Rattus norvegicus: one gene and its partners. The main gene of each other region encodes a partner of the protein of the gene in region 2 in a complex. Links are inferred from orthologs where the notes say so. Each region holds a gene or a part of one and is shown on either strand. Other genes may lie near its edges. The genes, in order: Ppme1, Ppp2r5c and Crybg1.

Region 1 (3,645 bases), on a different chromosome or scaffold from region 2:
TCATTCCTATTGGCTTTCTTCTGGCTCACGGAAGCCTCCTGCCTCAACCTCCCAAATGGCCAGTGCTACAAACAAGGTTCACCATAACTACTGGTAACTTTAGGTAAATTTAGGAAGCAAATAACTATTGAGCCAAGGTACAACTTTCCTTTCAGTGAGTATAAAGATTAGCAAAAGATTCACACAAAGAACATAGTGAAATAAAACAAAAGAACCCCTGCCACCACCCCTCCCCTCCCCCCCACCAACCTAAGTGAAAGAAAAAGCAGAGACTGTCCTTCAAGTTAGGATGACTACCAGAGAAACGTGGTAGACGTCTGGGAGAGAACAAGCTCATTTGTGAGTACAGTGCTGTTTTCTCATTTTCAGGTTGATGATGATGACCAGGGACAGTCGTTCTAATAAGGTGACGTGACAAATACATCTGACAACTGGGTGGTGAATGGCACACAGTATGCTATCAAATATTAGGTGAACTAGCTGGGCTGTGATAGAGCATGCCTTTAATCCCAGCACTTGTGAGGCAGATGCAGGCAGATCAGAGTTCAAGGCTAGCTTGGTCTACAAAGCAAGTTCCAGGACAGCCAGGGCTACACAGAGTAACCCAGTCTTGAGAAAATAAAGCCAACCAAACAAAAAACCTTTAGGTGACCTACTGAGTCCCCTACTTGCCTGCATCATAGAACTAGGTCAGATACAACTGAAGCAATGGCAGGACGAAGCACCAACTGCAACAGGAGATCTAGATGTGGACAAGATGACACTGTCTGCTCAAGATCAGTGGGTGACTAAGATGTCCACAGCACCCAAAGTGAGCCAGTCAGTGGAATCAAGTCTAAGTGGTATTTTTGGATGATATTTCAATGATCTTAAAGTTGTCTAAGACTACATACAATTCTGAATAGCCAACCAACTTTGCAAAAGTGTTAGAAATCTGGAGAACTCATTCTTGACTTCAAAACAGTACAATCTGTAGTAATTGAGAGTTTGGGACTTAGAGATATACAGTTCAGAGGCACAGGTTGAGCGTGCTGAGGCCTTCTGAACCACAAAACCAACAAAGTTTATAGTGTCATTAAAGACAGACAAAGGAAACGGAGGTCCCAGAAATGGACACTGAGATACACAGTCAAATGACCTCTGTTAAGAGTATTAAAAGTATTGGTGGGGGATACAAGGCCTCTTTTACAGTGCTGAGATAACAAATGCAGCCATGCAGAGAATGCAGGCACAGCTAGGCAGTAAGAGTGGAAAGATGCCCAACAGCAGCAGGCAACATGGAAACAGGAGATGGCTGCACTCAGAGACAGACAGCACTATGGGAACTATATGGAGAAACCAGAAGCCTCATTCTCTTAGCTCTCCATAGTGGGAAAAATTCTATAGAAAAATCTATATATTCATCATTTGAGGGACATATTAAAAATGTGACATATCAATACCACAGAATATTTTTCAGACATACAAATAAGGCAAACACTGATGCATGACACATGCAGCCACATGGATGAACCCTGAAAAGCCTGACCTACAGTAAAGAAGCCAGTCACAAAGGACCACACATTCCATAGTCCCTTTTATATGTACTGTTCAGATTAAGCATATCTACAGACCGAAAGTAGATTGATCATCTCAGCTAGGAGAGCTGAGGAGAAACAGGAAGTGGCTGCTTACAGATACAATAAAGAGGGAGACCTCTTCATTGGGGTGAGGTAGATGGAGAGCTAGGCCTCCATGTGTGAGTGCCTCCCACTGAGCTACATGCCTGGCCCTTTCTGTTTTCCTCCTTCTTGTAGATTTTAAGATAGGTGTCACTAAGGCACCCAACCTCCTGACTTATCATGTACTCCAGGCAGGCCTTGAATTTTTGATTCCTCTGCCTCAGACTCCCAAATCCAATTTCTGAATTAAGATGCTACTATATTATAGTATGAGAGAAAAATCTCCCTTCACCTTACAAGGTATTTCGAGGCCCAAACACATGAGGTATTATTTATACATTTGTAAATTCTAAAGAAGTATAAAATATTCTGATCATTGATCTTAAAAATGGCAGAAAGATCCTTATTAAGCAAAAAAAAATCCTTTAAAAATATGTATTCTTCTTGCTAAGAGCAGCACCCCCAAAGGCAAGGGAGTGTGTAGTAACACCAATATTACCTGACAGAAAGGAGGTGCTTACAATACGCCCTAGGAAGTCACTAATGCACCTCGCAAAGCAGCACTACCCATCATTAGCCTCAAACAGACTGCTCCACCAGAATCCCTACTTACACAGACATGAACTTAACACAACTGGTTTGCTTGGGTAATGATTTCTATTAAATGACAAGGCAACAGGAGGCATCACTGACAGTCAGGCATCCACAGCATCTGTGGCTTCATTATTGGGACTCCCTATGCGAAACTTCAGAAGTGTTACATTGCACATATCATTGTAAGTCTACAATGTAGATGGACTGACAGACACTGAGGTCAGAAAGCTTGTTCCAAGAGACAAGCCTCGGAAGGCAGTAAAAGCTGGACAGTCAAAAGATACAGGTACCAAATGAGGAGCCTGGTGAGGAAGTCTGAGGGGAACACAGAGTAAGTTTCTCACTCTAACTGCTGCATTAGTACTGCATTAGTGCCCTCCAGGCAATGCTCTCTTACCGCGGTGTCTCTGCCCACTAATGTATCTAACTGGACAAAAATAACAATGTTATCCCTGCTCCCCCACCCCCCATCCTCTGAGGAGGAGGCCTTCCTCACTCACTTCCATGTCGTCTTCCTTTTTCCTCTTGTTAACTGACTCACTTCCTTCTTCATCTTCTTCCTCCTCCTCTATGATTCCTTCTACTATGGATTTGGAACTTTCTGGACTTGTAATTCCTTCACACCTGGATTGAAAAAAACTTTGATGAATGTCTTATCAAATTGTCTTATTAGATACTCTTATGGCCCTTTATAATCAGAAGTTAGAGCTAAAACTATTCCTGGGCAGAAGATGTGTGGTTTTAGGGCTGGGGGAGGTCAAGGCCAACCTGTGGCTATATGCAAATAGCTAATTTTCAGTTCTTATGCCAATAAGGACCCATAAAAGGGAGTGGCCATCTTCTGGATAATGATAATGGTTTTATTGGTACTTTTAAATGACTGTCATAGCAATTCTTTGAAGTAGTCCTAAAGAGTTCAGAACAATGGCCAAAGAGGACAGTAAAAAGTCCTGCATTGCAATTACAATGACCATGGCAAGCAGAACCTGCAGTTTTGAACACCCAATCCAATCAATCACCATTTTCTTCTTCTGAGAAATGGTGCCCCTTACACAAACAAGGGATGACAGAAGAAGGGAAACTCACTGGCAAGAAGAAGGGTTTCAGCAGGAGGGAATGAGAGAGGGTGGACAGGGGTGTAAGTGACTACAGTTTTTCTGTATGTGTATGAAACTGTCAAACCTAAACAAGTAAGCAGGCAAACAATGGGGCCTCTTTACTATGTCATTAATGGAAAAATCATAAGCACCTGGTCCTACAATTCCTCTTAGAGAAGAGTTGATGGGAAAGGTTCTGACAGGTGCTAATGTGAGTCTAAGGTCTGAGGGCAGTGAGGCAGAGCTTGTGCTCCACGACAGAGACTATTTATTTTGCCTTTGAGAACAGAGTG
Region 2 (4,427 bases):
ACAAAACCCACTCTCAGAACCTCTCACTTTTGATCTCCTTTTTTTTTTTCCCTCGAAAGCTTGGGTGGGAACAACTGAAAATGCTTTACTTGGCATTTTCAAGGGTTAAAACACAAACAAAACAAAAAACAAGGGTTAAGATACATCAATTTTCAGTGCCTTGGCCTGGGGATGTAGCTGAAGGTTCCAGCGTTTGTCTAGCATGTTCAAAGCTTATCCACAAAGACAGCTCCTAAATCCTGAGTGAGCGCCTAGTCTCCTGCCGTTGAAACAGTTCACTCCTACAGTCTTCCTTCCAAGTGCTCCCCCTCAATATAGGATGTCAGACACTGACAACTCCAAAAAAAGGACTGTGTAAGTAGCGAATTAGAAGGCTAAGCTTCTTCTCTCATAAAGAGCTACCAGAGAAGTGATCGTTGGTCTTCATGCAGTTTTCTCACAGGCTTACGACCACTGGTAGAGAATAACAATCTCAAAAGCGCAGGGCTGCTCAGATGTAATGGGCACGGTGGGGAAAAAGCCACCACTGATGTGACTGTATCTCAGGTAGGCCGAGTCGACGGGAGGGGCGTGCAGGTAGAGTCTCCCAGGGTGCAGCTGATGGGCTCGGCCTCGGTGGATCCAATCCCCAAGACGTAAGATGGGCGTTGCCTACGTTGGGAAAGCCGGTTGCCTTGCGGGTGGGTCTTGAAGTGAGAAATCTCGGCGTGCAGGACCCCAGGGGAACTGTGCGGAGTCTACACTTAGACAGCGGTGGGTGGAGCCTGCTCTGGGGAAGAGTTCCTTTGCTCGCGTGGGCGGGGACGAAGGGGAGGCGTGGACTCGATGGGAGGGGCTTAAGTGAGTCCCGCCTCAGAGGCGTGCGGTGGGCGGAGCCCTCCCCGGAGCCAGCAGCATTGCCTTCGTGGGCGGGGCCTTATGGCCCAAGGAAACCGCCGCTCGCGCGGTCCCGGGTCTTCTCCGCTCTGCACGAGCGTCGTCGCGACCAGGCTTACAGGACAGAGCTTTTCGTGCCTGGACGGCTGCAGAATAGTTGCCATACATTTCACATGTGCATTTCCGCTCCTCACTGTCGTGTTTCCCTCCCCGTCCCGGCTCAGCGGCCGTGACTTTATCACCTCCGTCGTACTCACACACATCCCTCTCCCCCAATAGCTCGCTCCCTAGTGGCTCCACCAAAACCTTTAAGACCCGGGCAGCGCGGCCGCACACGAGACGGTCCGCACCGAGGGGGTGGGGACGGGCCGCGCAGTGGGCGGGGCGACGCTGCGGAGCGTTAGGGCACGTGGGGCCGTATCGGCCAATGGCGTGGCGTCGTTGAGGGCGGCGAGGCGGGGAGAGGGCAGCGTGGGGCCGGCGCGGGGCGGGGCCTGGGGCGGGGGCGGGGCCTGCCGGGAGAGGGGCGGAGAGACGCCGCCGCCGCTGCCGCCGCCGCCGCCGCCGCCGCGGCTGCCGCAGCCTCTGGGAGCCTGGAAAAGGGGAAGCGAGAGCGGACGAGCGACTCAGTCCCCGGGCGGCGGCTGCAGCGGCGGCGGCGGCGGCCGGGGCGGCGCGACGGCCGGGCCGGGGGCGCTTCTGCTGCTGCAGCGGCAGTGGCGGCGGGCGGCGGCAGGGGCGGCGGCGGCGGCGGCCCGCACCAGCCATGCCGAATAAAAACAAGAAGGAGAAAGTGAGTCGGGGCGGGGGGCTCTGGGACCGGGTCGGGGATGCCCGCGTCGTCGGGTAGGGGCAGACGGCAGGTCGTCCAGGCTCGCGGGCGGGCCCAGGGCGCTGGCAGGATTGCATGGAGCTGGGGAGGCCGCCCAGGCTCTGAGGTGGCGCTGAGGTGCCGCGGTCGCTCTGGGTGGCGGCGGATGCTCCGTGCAGTGCTCTGCGTGGCGGGGGCTGGGGTGCTGGAGCGTTCAGGACTCGCCCCAGAAACCCTCACTTGGAGGTTTAAGGGTGGGAGGGGAGAAGGGGATGGGCGGAGAGCACTGGGTTTATCAGTCCCTACCTGGAGTTTTCACCTCGCCCCCACCCCCAACACAGACATGAAGAGAAACGGAATTTGAAGGCTCCTGGTACTCAATATGATGTAGTTTGCTGCTGGCGTATTAAAGCCATCAGAAGCTCTCGGTGATAGGTATCTGTTTGGAAACTGCATTTGAGCTGATGCTTAGCGGTCCAAATACTGAGAACGCTAATTGGATTTTTGTTGTTGTTGTTGTTGTTTGTTTTTGTTTTTTTGTTTTGCTTTTTTTGTGATGATTTCCAGGAACCACCAAAACCGGTGAAAAGTGGAAAAGGTTCAAAAGAAGGACAAGATACAGCAGAAGCAGAGGTAACCACTGTAATACTCTCTGTTTTTCTGGAGCAGATTTTAATCTAGGGTCTAACAGAGAGGGTAATAAAAACCAAAGTCTCCTAAAGTGTGTAAGACTTTCTGAAGTCTTTCTTCTCATATGAGTTAGTTATCTTTATCCACTTTCATTAAAGTGTGCTGACATTTTAAAAACAGTTTCTCGTGGCTTCTAACGGAGCTCAGGCCCTCCCAGTGAACTGGTCTCATACGGAGTCTCTAGCTTTAGGGTCCGCCCCCTCATTCCTTTTCTGTTTCTCAATGACTCTTCCACAGTCCTTGCTTCGCTCAGCCTCTTGAGCTGGTTGGTGTCCTGGGGCAAGCTTCTCTCTTCTGCTGGTGGCCGGTCCTTTTCAACTAAGAAGTGTGAATGTGTTGTGATAGCTCGAATACGGGTACTTAAAGTCTTCTATTTCCTTTCCCTCCAGCTCTCCCATCCTCATTGGTGAATTCTCGACTTTTCTTGCTTCCTGACTTTGGCTTATTTCAAGAATATCTGGAATAACACCTTGGGTCCTTGGGTCATTTGGTGGAATTTGTGATCCTTAATGGAGTTGTGCCTTTGGGGGATTTGCAGGGCAGCCTGTTTATTTATTTAGCTTTGTTTTGTATCTCATTGTCTTGGAACTAGAGCGCCCAAGCCACAAGGCCCAGGTTTTAGTGTAAGGGGGCCTAGAAGCTGCTCCTCAAGTCTCCCTTCTCCAGAGCTGGATCTTTGAGATCTTACCACAGACTTTTTTTTTTTTTTTAATGGTTCTTTTTTTTTCCGGAGCTGGGGACCGAACCCAGGGCCTTGCGCTTCCTAGGCAAGCGCTCTACCACTGAGCTAAATCCCCAACCCCACCACATTTTTAATTTGTGGATGTTAGGCGTCCTCTTCCTGAGAGCCACATTAGAATGAGTTAAATTCTGCCCGGAGAAACACAGCTAACTGTCAATAATCTGCAGGGGTTATTTTAGCTTCAGGTTGTCCCTCCCTCCCCCCATTTGGTGTGTTCTAAGCCTCCCTCCTCTGCAGCAGGTGGTTCATCCTAGCAAATCTGTTGCCCTCCCTAGAGCCGAAAGCAGAAATCCAAAAGGTTCCTGAAATACCAGGAGATAGGATTGTCTGTGTCGGTCTTCACCTGCCCTTTCTGTACTGCAGATCATGGTGTCTTTCCTGTGGCACGCTAGTGTCTGACTGCCTTCCACAGCCATCCCTTCAGCGATGTTCACAGCACACGTAGTTGCTTTGCGTGGTAGATATACACTGTGTGCCTTGTTGTCCTGTCATTAGGACGGCTAAAACTTCTTACTGTGCCCCAAAGCTTCCTCGCTCAAACATACCGGTGTCCTGCTGCTGTTGGAGGACACAGAGGATGTCAACATGTATGTTCATTTCTCCCTAGTTTAGCCAAAGGACCTTGCTGTAAGGATAGGGTAGATGATTAGGTTAGGTTTGAATCCAAAACAAAAACAGAAAACCCATCCCAGTAGAAAGATGTCCACACCACTGCTGTGTCTGTCAAGGTCTTGGGGATTTTACTGTCAGCTGTGTAGGGCTCCGGAGTGTGGCCTGCAGTGCCCGGTGTGATGCCCCAGTTGTCTTTCTGTATCTTTTCTAGTGCTACTGTCTAAGAGCTGGAGTCCCAGAGCTCAGAATGAGCACTGAAAAACACTGAGATGTTGGGCGCCTCACCCCTTTCTCAGAAGGATGCCTGAGGTGACGTGACTCGCTAAGCTTGACCCTTAGCAGATCACTGTTTAGATTATTTCCCGGGAGTGCAGATGAAGGCGCTGTAGCTACCTTGACCTCTGAGTTACTCTTACTTTCTGATCACCGGCTCCTCCCCTCAGCCTTTGGCTCTGTTCTTCCCTGCTGGTCCCACCCACTTAGTGTGATTGACTCAGCCAGTGAATTAAGTCATTACTGCACAGGCTTCTCTCCTCCGATTACTCTGGGATGTTTTAACCTGAATGGTGTAAATGGGTTTGGTATTCCCACTGCTGCTCCTTGAGCCCTTCTAACATGGCCTCCCCTTTACAAGCAGCAGTTGTTCACGATGCCCAGTGAAGGCAGCTCAGAGCCTAGACGGTTTTCCCCCTCCAG
Region 3 (3,645 bases), on a different chromosome or scaffold from region 2:
GTGATCTGGTAATGGTTACTTCTGAAGCCATGTAAAAAGGTATTTTTATCAGGGCTGGAGAGATGCTCAATGGTTAGGGCACTGGTTGCTGTTCCAGAGAACCCGATTCAATACCTAGCAAAGGCATGGTAGCTTATAACTGTCTGTAACTCCAGTACCAGGGCCTTCTGACTAACAAGGATACTTGGTGCACATCCATACATGTGGGCAAAACATCCAACACATAAATCTTTAAAATCTGCTATGTGCAGTGTGTATTGTGAAATGTATTATACCTCCTTTTCTTCTTTTTTCTCTTGCTTTTCTGGGGATTGAACCCACAGCCTTGCACACGCTAGGTGAGTGCTCTGCCGTTGTGCCACATCCCTGACCCTCTTTTTACCTTTCTGTTTTGAGATGAAGAATCTGACTGAATTCCCTCGTCTGGTCCTGAATGCACTCCGTAGCCTAGGCATCCTTGGATTGGTGACTCTCACCTATTCTCTCCTGTAGCTGCAGGTGTGGGAAAGTGTCCCTCGGCCTCAGTGTGCACAGTTTCCTTTAGACTGGTGCTTGTCACATGATGGATAAGTTACTGGGGCAACGCAGTGTTTACAGATCCAATGGGGTGTGTGTATGAACACACTAACCAGCTTAGCTCTTTCCTTGACATGCAGTCTCCTGGTTGGGTCTTAGTCCGTGAACCGATATAAAACACAGATCTGACTTTTGGGCCCCAAATTTTCTAGTATCGTTGGAAATGCTCTAGACGTTAAAGTGAGTAGAAGCTTTAATACAGGTGCATTTGGAAAATCTTGTAGTGTAATCGTGTAAACTCACAAAGAACACTGACAATGCCTGAGTTAGAGCAAGATAGACTGCCTCAGTGCTGGTAAACGGTGGAGTAAATATGTTCTGATTTGAAGGATCTCGGGGAGAAAAGGCAACCGCCCCGTGATGCTGCAATTGTTAACCACATTTCCGTTCCTCTGATTGCAGACTCTTAGAGGAAGTATGCACAATAAACTCAATCCCCGGCCTGGCAAGGTAAGGTTATTCTAATTTCTAGTCCAGATTCTCTCCCGGTCTGGTGAAGGGAGACAAAATGCTGCCACTTCCATTGTCTTGCAGGTCGTGATATTCAGTGAGCCCGACGTCTCTGAGGAGTGCATCGAGGTGTTTGGGGACATCCAGGACTGCAGTTCTTGGAGCCTTTCTCCAGTGGTACTAGTGAAAGTTGTCCGAGGATGGTAAGAATGCGCCGCAGGTGCAGCTTACAGCTGGTGTCAGAGTGCACTGCAGGTGCAGCTTACAGCTGGTGTCAGAGTGCACTGCAGGTGCAGCTTACAGCTGGTGTCAGAGTGCACTGCAGGTGCAGCTAACAGCTGGTGTCAGAGTGCACTGCAGGTGCAGCTAACAGCTGGTGTCAGAGTGCACTGCAGGTGCAGCTAACAGCTGGTGTCAGAGTGCTCTGCAGGTGCAGCTTACAGCTGGTGTCAGAGTGCACTGCAGGTGCAGCTAACAGCTGGTGTCAGAGTACACTGCAGGTGCAGCTAACAGCTGGTGTCAGAGTGCACTGCAGGTGCAGCTTACAGCTGGTGTTTAGCTTTCTCAGTTATGATTTGGACCTCACCACATACTTATGTGTGTGCCTTTATCAGCATAAATGATTTAAAACACTGTTGATGGTAAGATAAGAAACCTGTGTCTAACACACATGGTTTTGACTGTAAAAGTGATAACCTGTTTAGACAAATCATAAAAATACAGTAGAACAAACTTCTTTTCCCCAGATATCTCCACATAACATTGCTTCAGATAGAATTGGGACCCATAGTATCGTCTTGGCTCATGGGTATCTAATGAGGTTGGTAAGGATTGCATTTGGAAGCTGGAGCAATGGCTTGGCAGGGAAAAGTACTTTTAGTTCTTCGAGGGGACCTGGGTTTGGTTTCCAGCATCCACAGGTTGCTTGACACCATCTGAAACTCCTGTTTCATGAGATCAGACATCTTCCTCTGGCCTCTGCTGGTACTGAATACAAGTACCCAGACAGACATACAGACCAAAACCACAAAAACAAAAACATGTAGAAACAAGTAAAGCTTATATATATTTTTTTTTTGGTTCTTTTTTTTTTTTTTTTCCCGGAGCTGGGGACCGAACCCAGGGCCTTGCGCTTCCTAGGTAAGCGCTCTACCACTGAGCTAAACCCCAGCTAAAGCTTATATTTTTAAAATCACATTTGTTTAGGCTGGAGAGATGGCTCAGTGGTTAAGAGCACTGACTGCTCTTCCAGAGGTCCTGAGTTCAAATCCCAGCAACCACATGGTGGCTCACAACCATTTGTAATGAGATCTGATGCCCTCCCCTCTTCTGGTGTGTCTGAAGACAGCAACAGTGTACTCATACATAAAATAAATAAATCTTATTGAACAATTACATTTGTTCTATTTATAGGTCAGGTGTGACTTGTTAAACCTGTATGGGGTTAAACAAAGCTGGATGTGGTTGCTCATGCCAATAATCCTAGCACTCAAGAGGTTAAAAGAAAGTCACTGTGAGTTCCAAGCCAGCCTGGTCTTATGTAGCAAGACCTAATCTCAAACACACGCACACCGGTGCACCCACACGGATCAGCATACACACGCACACGTGCACACACATGTACATGCTCACACATGCACATGTGCATACACACACACACACACACACACACACACACACACACGCACACACGCACGCACCCTGCAAAGCTAGCAAGCTCACTCACTGGGTAGAAGTGCTTGCCACCAAGCGTGGTGAGCTGAGCTCGTTTCCTAGGACACACACGGTGCTGGGAGAGCACTGACTCCTACGAGTTGCCCTCTGACCTCCACCTGAACACCGTGGATCACATACCCAGGCACACACACACAAATACATTTGAGAAATGGAAGCAAGATCTCACTATGAAGAGCAGACTGACCTTGAACTCACAGAGCTCGGTCTGCCTGCATCTGCCTCCCGAGGCTGGAGTTAAAGGAGTATATCACCACGCCCAGGCAATAATTTAATAAATCAGTAAACCAAATGAGCTTGTAGGGAAAGATAAATAAATTTCTAGGACTTCACTGAAGAAGTGAGCTGAAGTTTGACAAAAGTTAGTTTTGATTAGGAGATTAACGAAAATGTAAACACTGTGACAGTTTCTAAAATCTTTAGCTGGTTGGGTTGTCTCTCCGAAACGCACAGGAAGTTGAGTGAAGGGAAACAACTACAAACAATCAGGGTACCGTGTTTGTCTTCATTTTGTCTGTGCACGCTGGGCTGGGGACAAACACTATACACCAAACAGAGTTACGACCTAAAAAGTTAGCTGTGTTTCATTTAATCTCCATCTAATTAATTATACAACATCTTTTCCAACAGGACTTTTAATATTTTAATGTTTTTCTAAATAGTGAACATCTTCCCTAGAAAAACAAAGTGTACTTTCATTATCAAATTAGAAGACTGAAAATTACGCTAAAAACAAATTTTGCGAGATAATTTCGTTTGTAGCATGGCTGCTGCTATCTCTTTTGAAACCGTTTCTTGTTTAGTTTTAACAATTTATTTTTTAATTATGTATATGTGTGTGTGTTAGTGTTTGTGCGTACAAATGCCCATGGAGGCCAGAGGCAT

Evidence for each region.
Region 1: the proteins of Ppp2r5c (region 2) and Ppme1 are in contact, whole or in part, in a cryo-EM structure (PDB 7SOY), measured with the Homo sapiens proteins. The link is inferred for Rattus norvegicus from reciprocal best matches to the Homo sapiens genes PPP2R5C and PPME1. Residues at the interface, in NP_002710.2 of Homo sapiens: Asp180, His187, Arg188, Tyr190, Gly191, Leu194, Arg197, Ser230, Ile231, Gly234, Phe235, Ala236, Lys240, His243, Asp313, Gln341, Tyr348, Glu353, Tyr354, Glu399; in NP_057231.1 of Homo sapiens: Arg37, Lys38, Arg39, Asn192, Lys217, Val251, Glu252, Gly253, Ile254, Ile255, Glu256, Glu257, Pro345, Gln346.
Region 3: the proteins of Ppp2r5c (region 2) and Crybg1 are in contact, whole or in part, in a crystal structure (PDB 6VRO), measured with the Homo sapiens proteins. The link is inferred for Rattus norvegicus from reciprocal best matches to the Homo sapiens genes PPP2R5C and CRYBG1. Residues at the interface, in NP_002710.2 of Homo sapiens: Lys183, Thr184, His187, Tyr190, Gly191, Leu194, Arg197, Ala198, Arg201, Glu226, Ile227, Ser230, Ile231, Asn233, Gly234, Phe235, Ala236, Lys240, Glu242, His243, Pro265, Gln266, Tyr269; in NP_001358171.1 of Homo sapiens: Pro1136, Phe1138, Ala1139, Met1140, Pro1141, Pro1142, Ile1143, His1144, Glu1145, Asp1146, His1147, Glu1149.

What each region holds. Positions count from the first base shown.
Region 1 is NC_086019.1:164,089,080-164,092,724, forward strand, and holds part of Ppme1 (protein phosphatase methylesterase 1), read right to left. Parts: intron 2,880-3,645; coding exon 2,756-2,879; intron 1-2,755. UniProt on the Homo sapiens protein: Demethylates proteins that have been reversibly carboxymethylated. Demethylates PPP2CB (in vitro) and PPP2CA. Binding to PPP2CA displaces the manganese ion and inactivates the enzyme.
Region 2 is NC_086024.1:135,281,530-135,285,956, forward strand, and holds the start of Ppp2r5c (serine/threonine-protein phosphatase 2A 56 kDa regulatory subunit gamma isoform), read left to right. Parts: upstream 1-1,504; 5' UTR 1,505-1,642; coding exon 1,643-1,669; intron 1,670-2,254; coding exon 2,255-2,320; intron 2,321-4,427.
Region 3 is NC_086038.1:49,047,019-49,050,663, reverse strand, and holds part of Crybg1 (beta/gamma crystallin domain-containing protein 1), read left to right. Parts: intron 1-978; coding exon 979-1,026; intron 1,027-1,110; coding exon 1,111-1,229; intron 1,230-3,645. UniProt on the Homo sapiens protein: May function as suppressor of malignant melanoma. It may exert its effects through interactions with the cytoskeleton.